2 linked regions of the Caenorhabditis elegans genome follow. The protein of the gene in region 2 purifies or fractionates together with the protein of the main gene of each other region. This does not show direct contact. Each region holds a gene or a part of one and is shown on either strand. Other genes may lie near its edges.

The links.
Region 1: the proteins of fbxc-23 (region 2) and cst-1 fractionate together in Caenorhabditis elegans (co-fractionation; one large-scale study listed by BioGRID). This does not show direct contact.

What each region holds. Positions count from the first base shown.
Region 1 is NC_003284.9:4,335,883-4,346,557, reverse strand, and holds cst-1 (Serine/threonine-protein kinase cst-1 37kDa subunit), read right to left. Parts: upstream 6,927-10,675; 5' UTR 6,915-6,926; coding exon 6,865-6,914; intron 6,799-6,864; coding exon 6,718-6,798; intron 6,672-6,717; coding exon 6,491-6,671; intron 6,219-6,490; coding exon 6,063-6,218; intron 6,021-6,062; coding exon 5,643-6,020; intron 4,757-5,642; coding exon 4,664-4,756; intron 4,616-4,663; coding exon 4,525-4,615; intron 4,356-4,524; coding exon 4,275-4,355; intron 4,233-4,274; coding exon 4,065-4,232; intron 3,722-4,064; coding exon 3,657-3,721; intron 3,610-3,656; coding exon 3,521-3,609; intron 3,107-3,520; coding exon 3,046-3,106; 3' UTR 2,852-3,045; downstream 1-2,851. Other genes in the region: F14H12.3 (Thrombospondin type 1 domain protein), read right to left, coding at 980-1,237, 1,304-1,387, 1,436-1,565, 1,651-1,792, 2,020-2,142, 2,234-2,270; cst-2 (Serine/threonine-protein kinase cst-1), read left to right, coding at 10,524-10,573, 10,640-10,675. UniProt on the Caenorhabditis elegans protein: Serine/threonine-protein kinase which extends lifespan and delays tissue aging, probably by activating daf-16.
Region 2 is NC_003280.10:13,590,373-13,598,444, forward strand, and holds fbxc-23 (FTH domain-containing protein), read right to left. Parts: upstream 6,184-8,072; 5' UTR 6,172-6,183; coding exon 6,119-6,171; intron 6,078-6,118; coding exon 5,783-6,077; intron 5,322-5,782; coding exon 5,139-5,321; intron 5,090-5,138; coding exon 4,824-5,089; intron 4,777-4,823; coding exon 4,689-4,776; 3' UTR 4,631-4,688; downstream 1-4,630. Other genes in the region: clec-145 (C-type lectin domain-containing protein), read right to left, coding at 104-160; clec-146 (C-type lectin domain-containing protein), read right to left, coding at 330-544, 2,185-2,485, 3,308-3,361; csc-1 (Chromosome segregation and cytokinesis defective protein 1), read left to right, coding at 6,584-6,650, 6,704-6,992, 7,051-7,146, 7,205-7,502.

The sequences.
Region 1 (10,675 bases), on a different chromosome or scaffold from region 2:
TTTATTTATTCAAAAAATTTTACCATAGATCAGAATCAGTTACGGGAAAGACTGAAACATTATTTACCACTTGCTTCCTCTAAAAGTGTCAAGACCTAAATATACATTTATTAAAAATAGTCTGAACAATTTTTAGAGCACGCTCTCGATATTTATCACTCTTTCGGAATTTATCATTATTTTTCCAATTAAAATTATATGAATCGCTTATGTTTTGCCAACAGTGCTAAACTTTTAAAAACGATTTCACAATGCAGGTGATGAAACCAAAACTATATGTACATTAGAAGAAATTCAACCAATTTTATTTGAAGTTATACAAATTTTGATTGAGAGCTCTAATTCATTTCCTCACTTTGTGGTGTGCTTGTAATTCCATACCCAACCTGTCTGGCAGCCTACTTCTTACACTTCCCAATTTTTTCGAGTTTATTTGAAGTTGTTATACAAAATTGTTCTGCTGAAATTTTTTTGGCCCGTTCTTTAACTATTCAAATAAGCCATGAGAATTTTGTATCAAATAAATCAAAATAAACGGACATTTTTTATTCAAGAGTCGACAAGCACAAAAACAGAAACACATTAAAAATGCAGACCATTCCACAGATTTGATCTTATCAAATGTACTAACTGTTGAGAGGCATGATTTCCAAACAAAATAATTAAGCTAACAAAAATGACAAAAAATAACCCTCAATAGGAGCAATGCGATTATTGACCAAAGTCCCCTGCTCGGACGGAGCACCATCAAGAACGTTGTACCTGACTCCCAGATCCGTAGTGACCTGCACTTAAGGCAGCATTCACTGAAGCGTCTGCTGATATTTAATTTGATAATTGAGATTGTTTAGTTTTTTTGTTTTTTTAGTGGTTCTGTGATTCTGCTGTAGTGGATAGAAATAATAATTGCTCAATACTTTATTTATATTGCTTCGGAATGTGCAAAATATTGCATAAATGTACACAAGTTTCAATACAGTTAAGCACTTGTCGAATTTCCAGATACTGTAATCATTCTCTTCTTTCTTCCATTTCCGTATGGATCATAGAAAGGTTGTGCATGCCCGCAGGTTGAGCACGCTGGTGGTTGGTAACAAGTTGTGCATGGAGCTGGAGTCACAATGACAACCGGTTGGGTATTACAAGTATTGCATGGTGGTGGTGGTTGATTGCATGTTGTGCACGGGCAAGCAGCTTGTTGAGGGCATGGCTCTTGTTCAACGGAGCCTCCAGTACACTGAAACAAACAGTTATAAATGTTATATTGAATAAAAACGTTTAGCTTTATAAATTTTAAACTTACTCCCGATCCACAGCTACATTGCCTAGATCTGGTGATTGATCCTCCAGATCCGCAGGTTACTGAGCACGCCGACCAGGAAGACCACTGAAACAAAAGTTATTAAGTGAGAAGTTGAACTCAATTTGTTCTCACAGCAGTCCAGGTGCAGCACGGTTGAGCATTGCAAGCTTGCGACTCGGCAGCAGCTCCGACACATTGGCAGGTTGAGCATCCGTTATTGCAAACACGACTTCTCGTCATCGTACCACCGCCGCAGGTGGCACTGCAAAAAGAAAAGTTAGGCTTATCAGTTTGGCAATAAAGAAAACAAAACAATAATAAACAGATTAAAGCAAAATATTGCTAACCTGCAACTACTCCAACCTCCCCAAGCTCCCCATTGTGGTTGAGTTGGTTGTGGATCATAAAGGACGCATGGTTTTGATTCTGTTGTAGAACCTCCTTGGCAGTTGCCGGATGGACAAAGTCTAGTGCGAGTTTGGACTGGCGCTGAAATTGAAATTATTATTATGAAGATGTACATATAGCGGAAATGTGACTCCAGGTGTTGGAAATTCTATTTCAAATCCAAGAATCTCTGTGCACTGTAGAATTTTACATTTCATAAAGATCACTGAAATTGTGGCGGGACCAGTAAAACTGAATGTTTCTTTAAATTGATGTGTCAGGTTTTCGCAAAACTGCTATAGCAAAAATTCAAAAAATAGAAGACCTACTTCCAAAAGCGGCAGAACAGGAAGACCATTCTGTCCATCCACTCCACTGAGGGCTATCACCACATACGTTGCATCCGCTTGGATTTGCTTGTACACCGCCTCCAATTACATATGAAAGTGTTCCTAAAAATATTTTATAACAATCAAAAAAAAACTGTTTCAGAAATTGGAAACATTTTTCAGAAAATACTATAATTCTGAAAGAATAGTTTACCTTGAAAAAGACACAAAGAAAGAATAAGTGCGAACATTGTTGATAAGCTGATAGCGGATGAACTTTTGTTCGATGGCAATCTTCGCTTCCTTCACTCCTTAAATATATTTCGGTTTCGCAAATATTACCTGACAGTTGAGAAACATTCGCCTCGAAGTGTATATTTGCCTCTTCTTGAAAAAAAAAAAGCAAACGCCCTCTCGGCTAGTAGTTGACGAAATATATCTGCTTCCCAACGGCAGCAGAGACCCAATATGACAATTATAACAGACTAAAGCTAAAAGGACGTCCGTCATAAGCCATAAATCTTACGATTCAAAACGGCAGTCGTAATGCAAAAAGCACTCAGAATGTGGTTTTTTGTTTCTACTAGGATGCCATGCAAAATTTACCTAAAAATATTAATTGGTCGCTACGTGAACTCCGCGGTAGGCAAACAAATAAGAAAAACTAGACTCATCGAGATCAACCATCTATCGCTCTGACTCATTGCAGCTTTTTCAATTGTAAGTGAAATTTTATCTATTTCCGTTATTCGAAAAATTATATCCGTCACTCCCATTGTTCCTTGTTAGTCACTGATAAAATATCCGCCTTCAGAACAAACCTTCCCAAAAAAATTAAAATTGACCAGATTTATTTTAGCATGAAAAAGCTAAGCAAAACACAACAAGTTCAGTTTGCTCTTGCTTCTGATCTAACAAAATTTAGAATAAATATGACATTTAAAATACAATCTAGTTAATTAATAGGTTTCATATATTTGCAGATTGACAAAAAAATTATTATTAAACAAGCATGTATCGAAGCCGTCATTGAAGTCGTTTTTTGATTTCTATAACATCCAGTATTGGTTGCCTTTTTGTTTTGTATCTGAAATTTTGTTCTTTTTTTAGTATTTGACTTTAATCGTGAATTGCCACTGTTGCGGATTTTAATATCAATTTTCTTGACTCCAAAATGTAAGAAAAAAAGAGAAAAGTTGGCTCATTTTGAAAACATTCGATGCCAAAAGCTTCAAATATCCTAAATTTGAGAATGGAATTTTAAGCATCAAAGAAAAAAATTCTGAGCAAAATTTCAGCATCACTATTTCTTAAAAATTATAAATAGCAGTAGTTCGCGATTCATAAAACTGTCCTTTAGATGTTTAAATCAGTAAACTCACAAAAAATCCAGCTAGAAAATTCGCTTAGGATTTTTTGTTAAAAATCTCAATTTCCGGCTTTTTGAGGTGTTTGAATTAAATTTCCTCAAATTCAACCAATTAAAAAAAAAAGATTTTACCTTCTCTGCAACTCTCGTATTTCTTCTTCCATCTCCGAATCCAAACTTTCTTTCCTTCGAATCAGTTCGTCTAGCGTGATGTTTCGTAACTAAATGCAGCTATTTCGTTATTAGAAAAATTACGAAATACACTTACAAATTCGAAATCTCCATCGACCACTGCCCGTTGAAATCTATTTTCGTATTCGGCTTCCGTGTTCACTGAAAGAGTAGGTGTTTTTTAACTGTGATTCAATTCAAGATTTCAAAATATGTCTTTCTAAGTTTCAAAACTTATGCAATACAAATTTTCCACAAAACATTAGTAGTGACATTTTTCATTTTTTAGAATTTACAGGCAAAATCTTAATCAGCTAACATTTCATGCATGGCTAGAATAAGGGGTATGACATTTCAATTTTAATAAAATTTTAGGTTTGTGAAAATGCCTGAATAATTTTTCATTTTTTTGTCAAAGTCATTCGAGCTGAATAACGTTTTTTATGCTAGCTTTTTTTTCTCATAGATCATCATTTTATAATTGGTTTTCTTTCAAATAACTAACTCATATTATAACTAGCATCTTTGTAACTGCTCTCGCTGGTGCCCAATTGAAAGTTTGGACCGGTTCCATCTTGAGCAAACGGTTGGTTTTTTGAAGGGTCTGAAGCGCTTGCGGTGTGACCCGGTGGTTGAACGCGCGGTGAGTTGCCATTTTTCGACGAGCCTGGAACTATATCGGTGAATGCAATTTAACGCTCATGAAAAAACGAACTATATGCCGATTTAGGAATTTCTCCACCAATTCTCAAGCTTTCCATTTGACTTCGAAGACTTTGAGCAGTGACATAGTTGTCTGAAATTGTGAGTTCTATTTCACTAGGTAATTTTGTAATTTCTCCCTGTGTCCTGCTTCACGTTACTACTAAATATCGAGCTACAAAGTAGTGCAAATTAGGTGCGTGAGTTTTGCACTTTCCCACGACACATATGATCAAATTACATATTCAAAACTATCATAATACCTTTGTGTTGAACTAACGTAGACTCTCCACCGTCAATCATAGTGGACATTCCCTCGCTTAGCAACGTTGCATCATTTCCGCTGCTTGCTGCCTGAAAAAACAATCAAATTTTCGTTTTCTAATGAAATTTTTTGTCAACCATTGGTGCTTGTCCTAGTATAGCTTTTTCTTGAGCATCCTGGATCATCAACTGCATAATATCGCAACCTGGTGCATTTTTGATGAATGTGTGCTGAAAAATATCTATGAAGTGAGCAATGTTCACAAACTGTGTATCATTTGTTTTTCAGCAGTATTAGTAATACTATGACAGAAAACAACAAAAAAGTGTATAAAAATAGTAGAAAATTCTATGTAAAAAGTTAAAAAATTACTCCGAAGGGGTTGTCAAATTATAAGAAATCTTCTATTTTCGGTTGAGAGTAGTTGTAGGAAATATGAAAATTTGGCCCCGTCTATATCTTGGCAGTTTTTAAATGAGTTGCCACGTAGTGGCAGCAAGTGGGAAAGAACGCTCCTCGGCATTTAAAGGCAACTTCCTGCCAACTTTTGGCAACTTTCTGCCAAACTTTTGCACATTCCTGCCAACATTTAGATGTTTTTTCCCACTTACTGCCACTACGTGGCAACTTCCTGCCAACAACTCGGCAACTTCCTGCCAGCAATTTGGCAACTTATTTTAGTGGCACTAAATAAGTTGTCAAAGTGTGGCAGGAAGTTGCCTCTGAATACCGAGTAGAGAATTATGTTGAGTTCTAGCGTTTTTTGGATTGTTTGTTTTTATAGATTTCAAGCTTTTATCGACATCATTTTGTAGTCAAACGTGAAAGTTTATCGCTTTTCTCGCATTTTTTGCTGACATGGACATATTTTCAGCCGATTAGAACACAAGTTTAGCTGACTACCGACTAGAAACTTTAAAAAATAGAAAAAAGAAATACTACATGATTGAAAATTAATTTCTAGTCCCTGCGACAAAAAAAAGTTGTCGAAATTTTGAATTTTAGGTGGATGTACCTTTTTTCACAGTTTTAACAAATATAACGAATATTTGAGAATTTCAATATTTTTTGGATAAATCTTATTGGGAAATTTCTTTTTTTTTAAGCCATACGTACCTCACACAATCGGAGTGCCGTTTTTCTTTCTTCTGGCTTTTTAATTAAACAGCTTCTTATGAAATCATTGAACTCGGACGACCATTCTTCAGGTTTTTTAAACGTAGGTGGTGGTTTAGTTGGAATCATGAAGATTGCTCGCATCGGATGAATATCTGAATAAGGAGGCCGTCCCTCTGCCATTTCGATAGCTGTTATTCCCAGTGACCATATATCAGCTTTTGTGTCATATCCGATTTCTTCGATAACTTCAGGGGCCATCCAGAATGGCGTTCCAATGACTGTATTTCTTTTTGCCATTGTATCAGTCAACTGTCCAGCGACACCGAAATCCGCAAGCTTTGCAATTCCATCGGTATTGAGTAGAATGTTTCCAGCCTGAAAATACAGTTTTTTTTTCAAAAAAAAACAGTTTCTAACCTTTATATCTCTATGAATCTTCTTCAAGTCATGCAAATATTGCAATCCCTTGAGAGTATCGCGCAAAACTGCACTGATTTCTTGTTCGGATAACGGTTTCCGCCTGGCACGCATTATATCGGAGATCGACCCAGCTCCACAGTATTCCATCACAATCTTTAAATTAGTTTTTTTGTTAGTCCAGTTTTCTTCTTGATTTTCGACTAGGGGTAGGGAATAAAATCTTTGAATTTCAATTGGCATGCATTTGAATGAATACTTTTGAATGTTATTTCCACTTTAAGCTACATTTTTTTCTGTGGAAAAATCAGAACTTTACTGTTTTTAACTCTAATTCACAAAACGAATATAATTTTTGTTCAATTTCTTTTATTTAGTCCCACTTGGGCACAGCATTAAAATCTTAAAATTTATCTAAACAATCTCACCCATAGATCCGAATGTTTGAAATACGATCCATAGTATTTGACAACATATTTACTTTTACATTGTTGCATTATACTGATTTCCTTGATAATTTCTTGAAGATCAGTATCCACTGGCACTTTTTTGATGGCTAACACATGACCTGACTCTCTGTGAATTGCCTTATGTACGCTTCCATATGATCTGAAAATTTGGAATTTTTCAATCCGATAGAATTGAAATAACAAACCCTTCGCCCAGCTTTCCAACAATGTCGAAAACTTCTTCTGGTGGTTTGTTAAGCGCCGACGAATCCAATTTAAATCCATCGCTAAAACAAAAGAGAATGTTTATTTTGGAAGAGTAACTCTTTTTTTTTGTTTTGTGTCTGACAAACCTTGAGCCCTCTTCCGAATTCCGCCGCGAGCTGTCTGTAGACGGTGGCATCGGGAGGACGCTGAAATTAATGAAATTAACTTTGCTGAAATTTAAAAGTGGAGTAACGTCAGTGCTGAAATTGCTCAAAAACATGCATGCGGCACCACAATAATCAAATATTTTAGCAAAAAGTTTCTGAAAGATGTTCTAAATTTTATCTGATTTTTTTTTGAAAATTGAAAATAAACTCAGTTTTTGCCAATTGTTGGACTTTTTGAAAGTCGTCCTTTCAAAAACTGTTCAGCATTTTTATTTGTTTAATATTTAGTCATTTTGACACCATAAGAGTAGTTTTAAACAATTTTCCAACTTGCGCTACTCCACCTTTAACTGTGTACAAGTTGAAGGATTTATAAAAAAGTGTTGTAAGATCTTGTGTGAGTATAGGAATGAACACCCAATGAGATATAAGTAAGATGAAGAGCAGATGTTGTCCGTCCGACCGACGAGAACTATGGGGCAAGAAAATCGAAGAAAGAAGAAGAAAGAAGAAGAAGAAGATAAAACCTATCCTTGAGGACACATTAGTCGCATGTTTCTCTGCGTTCTCTTGGTTGCACATGCACTCTGCTTGTTCAATTAGAACGTCAACAGTGCATGTATGGTCATATTCTGAAGGGAGGCGAGAAGAGTGAGAAGAGAAAGACAGGCGAATCGATTTGGACGTCGTTTTGAAAGCGAAAAGACGTCTGCGGGGTTCCACCCATGTGGCCCCGATGGCCCGAAGAATGAATAATTGACTACGGCAATTGTCTTTTGGAAAAAAAAGTAATCCGACAAAGTCCAACGTTTTTAGATTAAGATTTCATTGGTAAAATGGTTGAAAAAGCCGAGAAAAACTAATTAATAAATTTTATAATTTATGAAATCTTTGAGATAGACCTGAGCATATTTTAAAACAATACAAATTTAGAAGAACCTTATTTTTCATGAAAGAGATTGAAGTATCATGATTTTCAATTCTATTTCGCAATGTTAGCATTTCATTTAAGATTGAAATATCCTTTTTGAAAGTGTGAGAATTAAATATTCCCATTGAAACTATCAAACTATCAAAGACCAGAGAACAACTCAAAAACAGTACTCTATTTCAGATAAGTTGTACCGTGATAAAAAAAAAGAAGTTAATATAACCGACCGCAGGCGCTACATTCGACGAGCATTCGTAATGCCCTCGGCTCACTCTACGTTATTTGAGCAGTGTGTGGTCGAGGCGAAAGGGGGAAAAGGACGGGAAAGAGTGCGAAGTGTGTACTGCGCTCGTTTCATAAGACTTGACCCTTCACACGTCAGGATGTTTGAATGCGGAATATCGTATTGCTAACTGTGTCCTTCCTGGTGCTGTTTTGCGGTACTGTTTTATTATGAGAGTTGTTGGGTAGTCATCACCTGATTCACGTATGTTTACTATCTTTACTTGTCAGTAGACTTTATTTGTTATGGTGCATAGTAGTTGATTGCTTTTTGTCAGTTTGGACAATTATTCTAGTTGATTTTATAAAGCATGTTTCATCCATTTTTTCAAGCAAAGAGATGTCATAAATTCAAAAACAATTTCCAAGTTATTCTTTAATTTCAATCTATTTAACTTTAAAGAACTGTTAATTGATTTTTCAAAAATATATACACCCATAATATGAAAAAGTATTTTCAACTATCAATAAACACCGAGAAAAGCGGAATATCAAAATTTTTTGGCAATTTGACAATCGATAATTTTGAACAAATAAAATTCAAAAACAAACAAACAAACAATAGTTCATTGTAATAAATATTTTTGGGAAGACATACAACGTTTCCCTACTAAATGTCTGCTATTCCAGATTGCCGAGTTTGAAAATATTCGGTATTTTCGGGAATCGCCGAATCTTGAATTCATCAGCAATTCAATATTTTCCGCATTTTAACAATTGCCTCCCACCCCTAATTCATAAAAATTTTGATATTCCGCTTTTCTCGGTGTTTATTGATAGTTGAAAATACTTTTTCATATTATGGGTGTATATATTTTTGAAAAATCAATTAACAGTTCTTTAAAGTTAAATAGATTGAAATTAAAGAATAACTTGGAAATTGTTTTTGAATTTATGACATCTCTTTGCTTGAAAAAATGGATGAAACATGCTTTATAAAATCAACTAGAATAATTGTCCAAACTGACAAAAAGCAATCAACTACTATGCACCATAACAAATAAAGTCTACTGACAAGTAAAGATAGTAAACATACGTGAATCAGGTGATGACTACCCAACAACTCTCATAATAAAACAGTACCGCAAAACAGCACCAGGAAGGACACAGTTAGCAATACGATATTCCGCATTCAAACATCCTGACGTGTGAAGGGTCAAGTCTTATGAAACGAGCGCAGTACACACTTCGCACTCTTTCCCGTCCTTTTCCCCCTTTCGCCTCGACCACACACTGCTCAAATAACGTAGAGTGAGCCGAGGGCATTACGAATGCTCGTCGAATGTAGCGCCTGCGGTCGGTTATATTAACTTCTTTTTTTTTATCACGGTACAACTTATCTGAAATAGAGTACTGTTTTTGAGTTGTTCTCTGGTCTTTGATAGTTTGATAGTTTCAATGGGAATATTTAATTCTCACACTTTCAAAAAGGATATTTCAATCTTAAATGAAATGCTAACATTGCGAAATAGAATTGAAAATCATGATACTTCAATCTCTTTCATGAAAAATAAGGTTCTTCTAAATTTGTATTGTTTTAAAATATGCTCAGGTCTATCTCAAAGATTTCATAAATTATAAAATTTATTAATTAGTTTTTCTCGGCTTTTTCAACCATTTTACCAATGAAATCTTAATCTAAAAACGTTGGACTTTGTCGGATTACTTTTTTTTCCAAAAGACAATTGCCGTAGTCAATTATTCATTCTTCGGGCCATCGGGGCCACATGGGTGGAACCCCGCAGACGTCTTTTCGCTTTCAAAACGACGTCCAAATCGATTCGCCTGTCTTTCTCTTCTCACTCTTCTCGCCTCCCTTCAGAATATGACCATACATGCACTGTTGACGTTCTAATTGAACAAGCAGAGTGCATGTGCAACCAAGAGAACGCAGAGAAACATGCGACTAATGTGTCCTCAAGGATAGGTTTTATCTTCTTCTTCTTCTTTCTTCTTCTTTCTTCGATTTTCTTGCCCCATAGTTCTCGTCGGTCGGACGGACAACATCTGCTCTTCATCTTACTTATATCTCATTGGGTGTTCATTCCTATACTCACACAAGATCTTACAACACTTTTTTATAAATCCTTCAACTTGTACACAGTTAAAGGTGGAGTAGCGCAAGTTGGAAAATTGTTTAAAACTACTCTTATGGTGTCAAAATGACTAAATATTAAACAAATAAAAATGCTGAACAGTTTTTGAAAGGACGACTTTCAAAAAGTCCAACAATTGGCAAAAACTGAGTTTATTTTCAATTTTCAAAAAAAAATCAGATAAAATTTAGAACATCTTTCAGAAACTTTTTGCTAAAATATTTGATTATTGTGGTGCCGCATGCATGTTTTTGAGCAATTTCAGCACTGACGTTACTCCACTTTTAAATTTCAGCAAAGTTAATTTCATTAATTTCAGCGTCCTCCCGATGCCACCGTCTACAGACAGCTCGCGGCGGAATTCGGAAGAGGGCTCAAGGTTTGTCAGACACAAAACAAAAAAAAAGAGTTACTCTTCCAAAATAAACATTCTCTTTTGTTTTAGCGATGGATTTAAATTGGATTCGTCGGCGCTTAACAA
Region 2 (8,072 bases):
GAGCGCGAAAAATTCAATGAGGAACGCCAGAACCCCGTGGCGTCAAGCACCAAGAATGCGCCAGTACCCCTTAGCTGGCGTGTTACCTGATAATCAGCCTTACCTCTGTAATACATATAAAAATTAGGGATAGTAGAATAATTCCACACTTTGGGTGCATTATTTCTGAAAAAAATTCTCAACTGTTTTTCGGTGGGAACTTTTGATTTATAGTCTTCTCGATAAACAAATGGCGATCATTTTGTTATCGATGTATCAAATTACCCTTAGTCATAACATATATTTATTTACACTTCATAATTCAATTCACAATTTCTCGTAGAATTATTTCAGATTTTAACATCATTCTTGATAATTTGACAGACAAATGGACGAAGTTGAATGCAGGAACGAATCGACCAGACACCCTTCGCATCCATCACAGCGCAGCCATCAATAGGGGACTCGGAATCAAAGTTCGTGAATGGGGTGGAGGTTTGTGTGGTGGTCTTGGTTTTCATGCCGATCCAGGCAAAATCAGAGGTTTCGCTGGAGTTGATGAGGTCTGAAATTTTGGGAAAATTATTGGAACTGGCTAGAACAGAATTGTAAAAGTTTGCTTCTTTTGACTGGTGAACCTGGCTGGAGATGTTTTTTCGTTTTCAGTATGGGTAACATGAGACTTGAAGCCTAAGCTCTAGCAGTACTGTAGGATTACTGTAGTTTAAGAAAAATTGAGTTCTTGGCTTATGAAGGGATATCGGTTCAGGGTTAGTGGGGGATATTGTCGGGGTACTGTAGTGGTATTGTAGAGGCACTGTAGGATACTGTAGAATTACTGTATTTTAGGAAAATTGAGTTTTCGTCGTTTGAAGAGATATCGGTTGAAGGGCAGTGGGGGATGTGGCTGGGGTACTGTAATGGTACTGTAGAGGTGCTGCATGAGTACTGTAGGATTACTGTAGTTTAGGAAAATTGAGTTTTCGTCGTTTGAAGAGATATCGGTTGAAGGGCAGTGGGGGATGTGGCTGGGGTACTGTAATGGTACTGTAGAGGTGCTGTATGAGTACTGTAGGATTACTGTAGTTTAGGAAAAATTGAGTTGTTGACTTTTGAAGGGGTATCGGTTGAGGGTCAGTGGGGGGATATGGTCGGAGTACTGTAGTAGTAATGTATATATACTATAGGAGTACTGTAGGATTACTGTAGTTTAGGAAAAATTTAGTTTTTGTCTTTTGAAGAGATATCGGTTGAGGGTCAGTGGGGGATATGGTCGGAGTACTGTAGTAGTAATGTATAGATACTATAGGAGTACTGTAGGATTACTGTAGTTTAGGAAAAATTGAGTTTTTGTCTTTTGAAGAGATATCGGTTCAGGGTCAGTGGGGGATATGGTTGGGGTACTGTAGTAGTACTGTAGAGGTACTGTAGGAGTACTGTAGAATTACTGTAGTTTAGGAAAAATTGAGTTTTGTCTTTTGAAGGGATATCGGTTCATGGTAAATGGGGGATATTGTCGGGGTACTGTAGTGGTATTGTAGAGGTACTGTAGGAGTACTGTAGGATTACTGTAGTTTAGGAAAAATTGACTTTTTGTTTTTTGAAGGGATATCGGTGTACTGTAGGAAACTGTAGAATTACTGTAGTTTAGGAAAAATTGAGTTTTTGTCTTTTGAAGGGATATCGGTTCATGGTAAGTGGGGGATATTGTCGGGGTACTGTAGTGGTATTGTAGAGGTACTGTAGGAGTACTGTAGGATTACTGTAGTTTAAGAAAAATTGACTTTTTGTTTTTTGAAGGGATATCGGTTCAGGGTCAGTGGGGGGGGGGGGATATGGTCGGGGTACTGTAGTGGAACTGTAGAGGTACTGTAGGAGTACTGTAGGATTACTGTAGTTTAGGAAAAATTGAGTTTTTGTCTTTTGAAGGGATATCGGTTCATGATAAGTGGGGGATATTGTCGGGGTACTGTAGTGGTATTGTAGAGGTACTGTAGGATACTGTAGAATTACTGTATTTTAGGAAAAATTGAGTTTTTGTCTTTTGAAGAGATATCGGTTCAGGGTCAGTGGGGGATATGATCGGGTACTGTAGTGGTACTGTAGAGGTACTGTAGGAGTACTGTAGGAGTACTGTAGGATTACTGTAGTTTACGAAAAATTAAGTAGGACTGAAACCCGCAAACTGTCTCCGTTAAAACCTACTTGTCACAAATCCATTCTTCGCTTCATTGTCGATTATAGCCAAATGAGCTCCAAACCCTTGACAGTGTCTCTCTGCATTATCCCAACTTTTCCTCTCCTCAAATAGCCGGTACTTTGACCCACTCTCCGTTGTATTCCACTCTTTCATTAGCACACTTTGCAAACCGTCGATTAATTTCTCCAATCTCGCCACTTTTTCCTTCAAAGTCCGAATTTCGGTTTCGGTGCGACCTTCAAAGTTTTGAAGTTGAGTTGGGAATTCCTCGTCGGTGGAGAAGAAACTCCGCATGCCGTGGAAGTTCTGAAAATTGACGCTTTCAAATATTACCTCTGGAAATTTCTGCTCTAATTGAGTGGACTTTAAGGCTTAAAGTTTAAGCAATTCTGAGACCTTTTTTATTTTCTCCAAAACTTTGGGCGCCAGCTTTTCCACTGCCTTTTTTCCATATTTTACAACCAAATTCGGCTTGGCAGGGTCCTCTGAGCCAATGTTCAGCATGGATTTTAGCTTTGTAAAGGGTCGGGAGAAGAAGCCGGCGGGCTCAGGAGGTAGTGTAGTGGGCTCTGTGTCATGGTGCATCGGGCTTGTCGTGCTATCAGGCGGTGCAAAGCCTAGTTTGGCCTTTACACGGCCAATAAAGCCTGGACTATGAGGTATTGGGATGACTATTGGTATCACAGGGGCTTTGAATTTTGATCTACCTCTATCAATCAATCCAAGATTTCTACTAACTAATCTAGGGGATACTGTAGTTGTGGACCCCCGCCGCCGAAGCCCGGCCCACTCCTGAACCCTTGTCACTTTTGACCGAATCCACGAAGGACGCCGTGTCGTCGACGCAGTTGTCAGCTCCTGGGCTTTTTCACATTTTTTTTTGGAATTTTTTTCCACTCTCTCCGAAACGCCCGTTACTTTACGGAAACTAAACATTTCTTAAAGTTTTTTAATGAAAAAGTATACTACGTAAAATTTCCTATATTTTGTTGGTTGACAACTTTTTTCTACCTTTCTTCTCCGCAAAGTTACAAAGGTTTGAAGAAAGCGCGCCAAAAACTATCAGACAGAAAGAGCACTCTCTTTGTCTGCGCCTCCTGGACAATTTAAATAATTTTCTCCACTTACAAACTGCGTCTGAACCACAGCCGCTAGTAGAAGAACAGAAAATATCGATCGCATGTTTTGAGAAAAAAATGAACAAAAAATTAAATTTGGCAATAGAAGGAGGTAATGAAATGAAAAGACCAGTTAAAATGTGGTATCAAATCAGCCGCCCCCTGATTTCTCTGCACTCTCTTATTTACCTCTTATCTCTCACTTTATCACTTGTTTTCCCGATAGTTTGACGAATTTCTGGTCATCACGGATTCTGGAGACTAGGGGAAAATGTGGTGATTTCATAGTATAACCGGAAGTTTATAAGTTTTTATCCCAAGAAATTACAGACGTAATTTGGGAGCTCGCGTCAACGGGTGTTTCTCAATGGAGCGCGTTTACATCAAGATTTGTGTTTTTTCTGTCTTATGGTGTGAAAAAATCACGTGAATCACCTCTGAAAATTGGAAAAAATCCAAAACAAACAAAAAACACAATTCTCGAAAAATTAGTCACGAGGAAAAGTACCTCGTGATTCAGGAGACCTTTAACAAATCAGAAATTGGAAGTGAATCACCGATGCACCATGTCACTCCTAGTACTTACTAGGGAACCGTCAGAAGGTGCCCATCGGACTTGCATATGAGACCTATGCGATTCGATAGTGCATGTATTAAAACGGTTACTCGTGAAATTTTAGCGGCAAAACTCCAGAACCAAGCTCACGGCGGGCTCTCAAAGATCCTGAAAATATCACTGTAACGAAGCATTGAAGGGCCAATTTTCCAATTTCACTTTGGTAGCTCATATCTCCGTAGAAAAATTTTTTACAGAAAAGTCATCAACTGATAAGTTGTTGATATTGTTGTAAAGAACAAGTTTGTAGTTGAAAGTTTTTTACCAAAAAATTTTTGTTTGAGATAAATAAAACCGCGTGAAGTGCGGCAACTGCTGTTGTTATTTGTATGCTGCTATTCCGTTTCTAATGCTTTTCTCTCAAATACAAATTTTTTGGTAAAAAACTTTCAACTACAAACTTGTTTTTTAGGACAATATCAACAACTTATCAGTTGATGATTTTTCTGTAAAAAATTTATCCGCGGAGATATGAGCTACCAAAGTGAATATGGAAAACTGCTTCGTTAGATCATTAAAGTTCTTCCTTACAGTGATATTTTCAGGATCTTTGAAAGCCCGCCGTGAGCTTGGTTCTGGAGTTTTGCCGCCAAAATTTCACGAGTAGCCGTTTTAATACATGCACTATCGAATCGCATAGGTCTCATATGCAAGTCCGATGGGAACCTTCTGACGGTTCCCTAGTTAGCTGGTGCACTATGAAATTCCTAACACACCCTCGATGCAGTACTAGTTTATTACTTAACAATTCCAGCTGAAAACTTAATAATACAGATTATTCAACAACTTGGATTATCAGCTGCTTTTGACTGTTCTTGAAGATTTTCACATTGGTATCTTTACTGGTGACAATCACTTGTTCCCTGAAACTTTCTTTTTCAAATAAATTCAAATAACTACTACCTCTTACCTATCTTCCACACTCCTTTGCACTGAACTTGCTTCAAACCTATTATCAATCGCCTGATTAACCAGCTCAAACTTCTCACGGAACACGAAAAGTGTCAAGGTGGTGCCCATCGGTTTTTTGTCCTGAATCCAGTTTTCGCAGAGATTTACAACTTTCGGGGAGGTCATATTATAATCTAAGAATATCCAAGGAGATTGGAGATTTGAAATCGCGCGAATCGGAATTGCACGTGATGATTTTATACACAGCTTCTTGGCTGAATATATCTGGAAGGAAACAACAAATTTCTGTGAATTTTCAAATTTCAGACTCTACCACAGGCTCCGCCAGAATCAAGTAATCCATTCCAACAAAATCCACCTCCGCCGTCTCGAACGGGCGAGCTCGGAGGCAATCAAACCAGGTCGTGTAGTCATATCTCAGGGATTCAATCCGCATTCTTACAAAAATGTGTCGAATATTCAATTGGCAGCACGCCTCGAGACCATATGGATGATTCTGCAAACGCACGACGGTCTCGTCACGACAAAATTTCGTTAATTGATAAAAGGTGTGCGCCTTTAAAGAGCACTGTAATTGAAAACTTTCGTTGCTCACGCGGGATCCTGGCCTTGCTCATTGAATTTTTCGCGCTCCATTGATAATCTCCCGCTGGACAACGCGTGGGAAAGTCGTGTACTCCACACGGACACGTACATTTCGTTTTACAACTAAAACCGAGCCGCGACGCGACACGCAACGCACCTTAAATCTACCCCAGATATGGCCGAGCCAAAATGGACTAGTTCGGCCTAAACTCTTCCATTTCAATTTATGAGGGAAGCCAGAAATCTGTGAAAACTAGAAGAAAATAATTAAAAACCCCAAATTTCCAACAAATTATAGAAAAAACTAGATAACACAAAAATTTGTAATTACAGTACTCTTTAAAGGCGCACACATAATCGCGTAAGAATTACCAGAATTTGCAGTGTATGAATACTTGTTCCTGGTCGATTTAAATAGAAATCCACCAATTTCCGAAAGGTTTCAGTCTGTGAATCTTCAGGACTTGCAATTAAAATTCCGAATTGTTGAACTCCACCGAATAAAACGTTGGCGCCAAGCTGAGCAGTTTGAATATTGAAATTATATTTTTTATCAATCGAAAAGTGCCAGTCCTCCCTTGTTGTATCGATTTTTATACAATTAAAGTGATAGGGAAGCTTTTTTTCAAGCTTGCGAAATATCGAGTTGAAATTTGCAAGATGGCTTCTGTAATCGTGTTTTCAAATGGATTCTAAAATAAAACCCACTTCTTGTCAAATGATAAATATTTGAATATGCATGGGACGCTTTCAGAATACATTTTAAGCTGAAATATTATCAATAATTGCAGCAAAAAAGGCAAAATTGCGAAATTTCTTGCTACGAAATTTTCTTCAGTGAAAATTAATTGTTCTAGTTGGTATCAAGTGTATGCAAATGGAAAAACGGTAAAAAATATATTTCAAATCATGTTTTCATAAGTTTGTCTTTATAAATCTTTATTCCAGACCTGTTTCCTTCTTTTGCGCGTGGGGTACGGTACGCAGTCCGCAAACACCGAATGCGAGCGCGAAAATTTTTCGATTAATTTTATAATTTTTTCCGCCATTTTTCTCATTTTCCACGCATTTTTCGATTTCTTTTGTGATTTTTACCTTAAAAAAGTTAATTTTCACGTTAATTTCCCTCAAAAATTCGATTTTCTCCGATTATTTCTCATTATTTTCTTCAGAATGCCACCACGCAAGATCAAGAAGGACCCGGCTGTGGTTGCGATGGCGGATACTCTCGAGACGCGTGGTAAGCTTGAAGATCTCCAGTAATTTATTATATTTAAATAATTTATTTTCCAGTCAAGGACTTACTCGAGGAGTATAAGAAGAAGCTGCGGGAGGTCGCCCTTCAGACAGCAAAGGCTGAATCCGACCGGATCATCGCCACAATCAAGCCAAAATACAGGGATATGCCGATCATGGAGTTTCTGGCATCGCCACCGGATGATTTCTACATTGAATCCGGCGAGGAGGAGGAGGAAGGAGAAGCGGCGGTGGCGGTTAAGCAGGAGCTTCCTTCCGAGCCTGACATGGAAATCGACGACGCGGCGGCGGCGCAAAAGACGAGCATTCCGATTGGCCAGAACTCGTAAGTTTTCAAAAAAATCCAAATTTCCGCCATTTACTTTTATCAATAAATTTTCCAGCGGCCGGAACACGGTGCAGGTCAAGCAGGAGCCTGAAATCGACGACGATGCGGCGCATGAGACGAGCATTCCGATTGCTCCATCTGGCCAGAACTCGTAAGTTTTCAACAAAAAAAAAATCGATTTCTCAATAAATAAATTAATTTTTTTTCAGCGGCAGGAACACGGCGGCCGACGAGCACCGCCGCAACGAGATCATAACGCCAGCTGGACAAGTGCTCCCACTGCCAACACTTCAACCGGAAAAGCCATTCCGTGCTCCACACGTTGACGAGGAAATCGCCTTCTCGGTGAACGGATCGCCACTGGTCTTGGCTGGAAGAACTACTGCTACTGCTGCTGGCAAGGAGAATCGGAAGAAGTCGAAGAAATCTGGTGCGGCGAGCAAGAAGGCAGCGGCAGCAGCCGGGCCTCTCCAGCCGGAAACTGAAAATGCCGGGACGTCTGTATAGGAAAAATCCCCCGATTTAATTTTTCCCCCGCTTTAATTTTTATAATGATCTGTAAATACTTGATATTTCAATTTTTCCCGTCTTTTACCTTTTATATGCAAATTTTTTGATCTCAACGATCGTTTGATTCTCTAAATAGACTGCAAAAAATTTGACTGCAAAAAATCGAAAAAAAATTAGTTTTTTTTCAGAGAAAATCGGAAAGAAAACTTCCAGCCTTCTTGTACTACTCTTGGACAACTGTGAACTAGTTATTTAAACAGTTTTTGACAAGAATCCGCGATTTTGTTCAACTTACGCTAATTCTTTTTGTGTTTTACATCAGCGGTGGACGCCAAACTGTCGGAATTGAAGATTTCCGGCAAATCTGTAATTTGCCGGAATTGAATATTTGCGGCAAATCTGTAATTTGCCGGAATTGAATATTTGCGGCAAATCTGTAATTTGCCGGAATTAAATGTTTCCGGAACATCGGCAAATTGCCGGTATTAAATGTTTCCGGAACATCGGCAAATTGCCGGAATTGAGTATTTCCGGTAATTCGGCAAATTGCCGGAATTGAGTATTTCC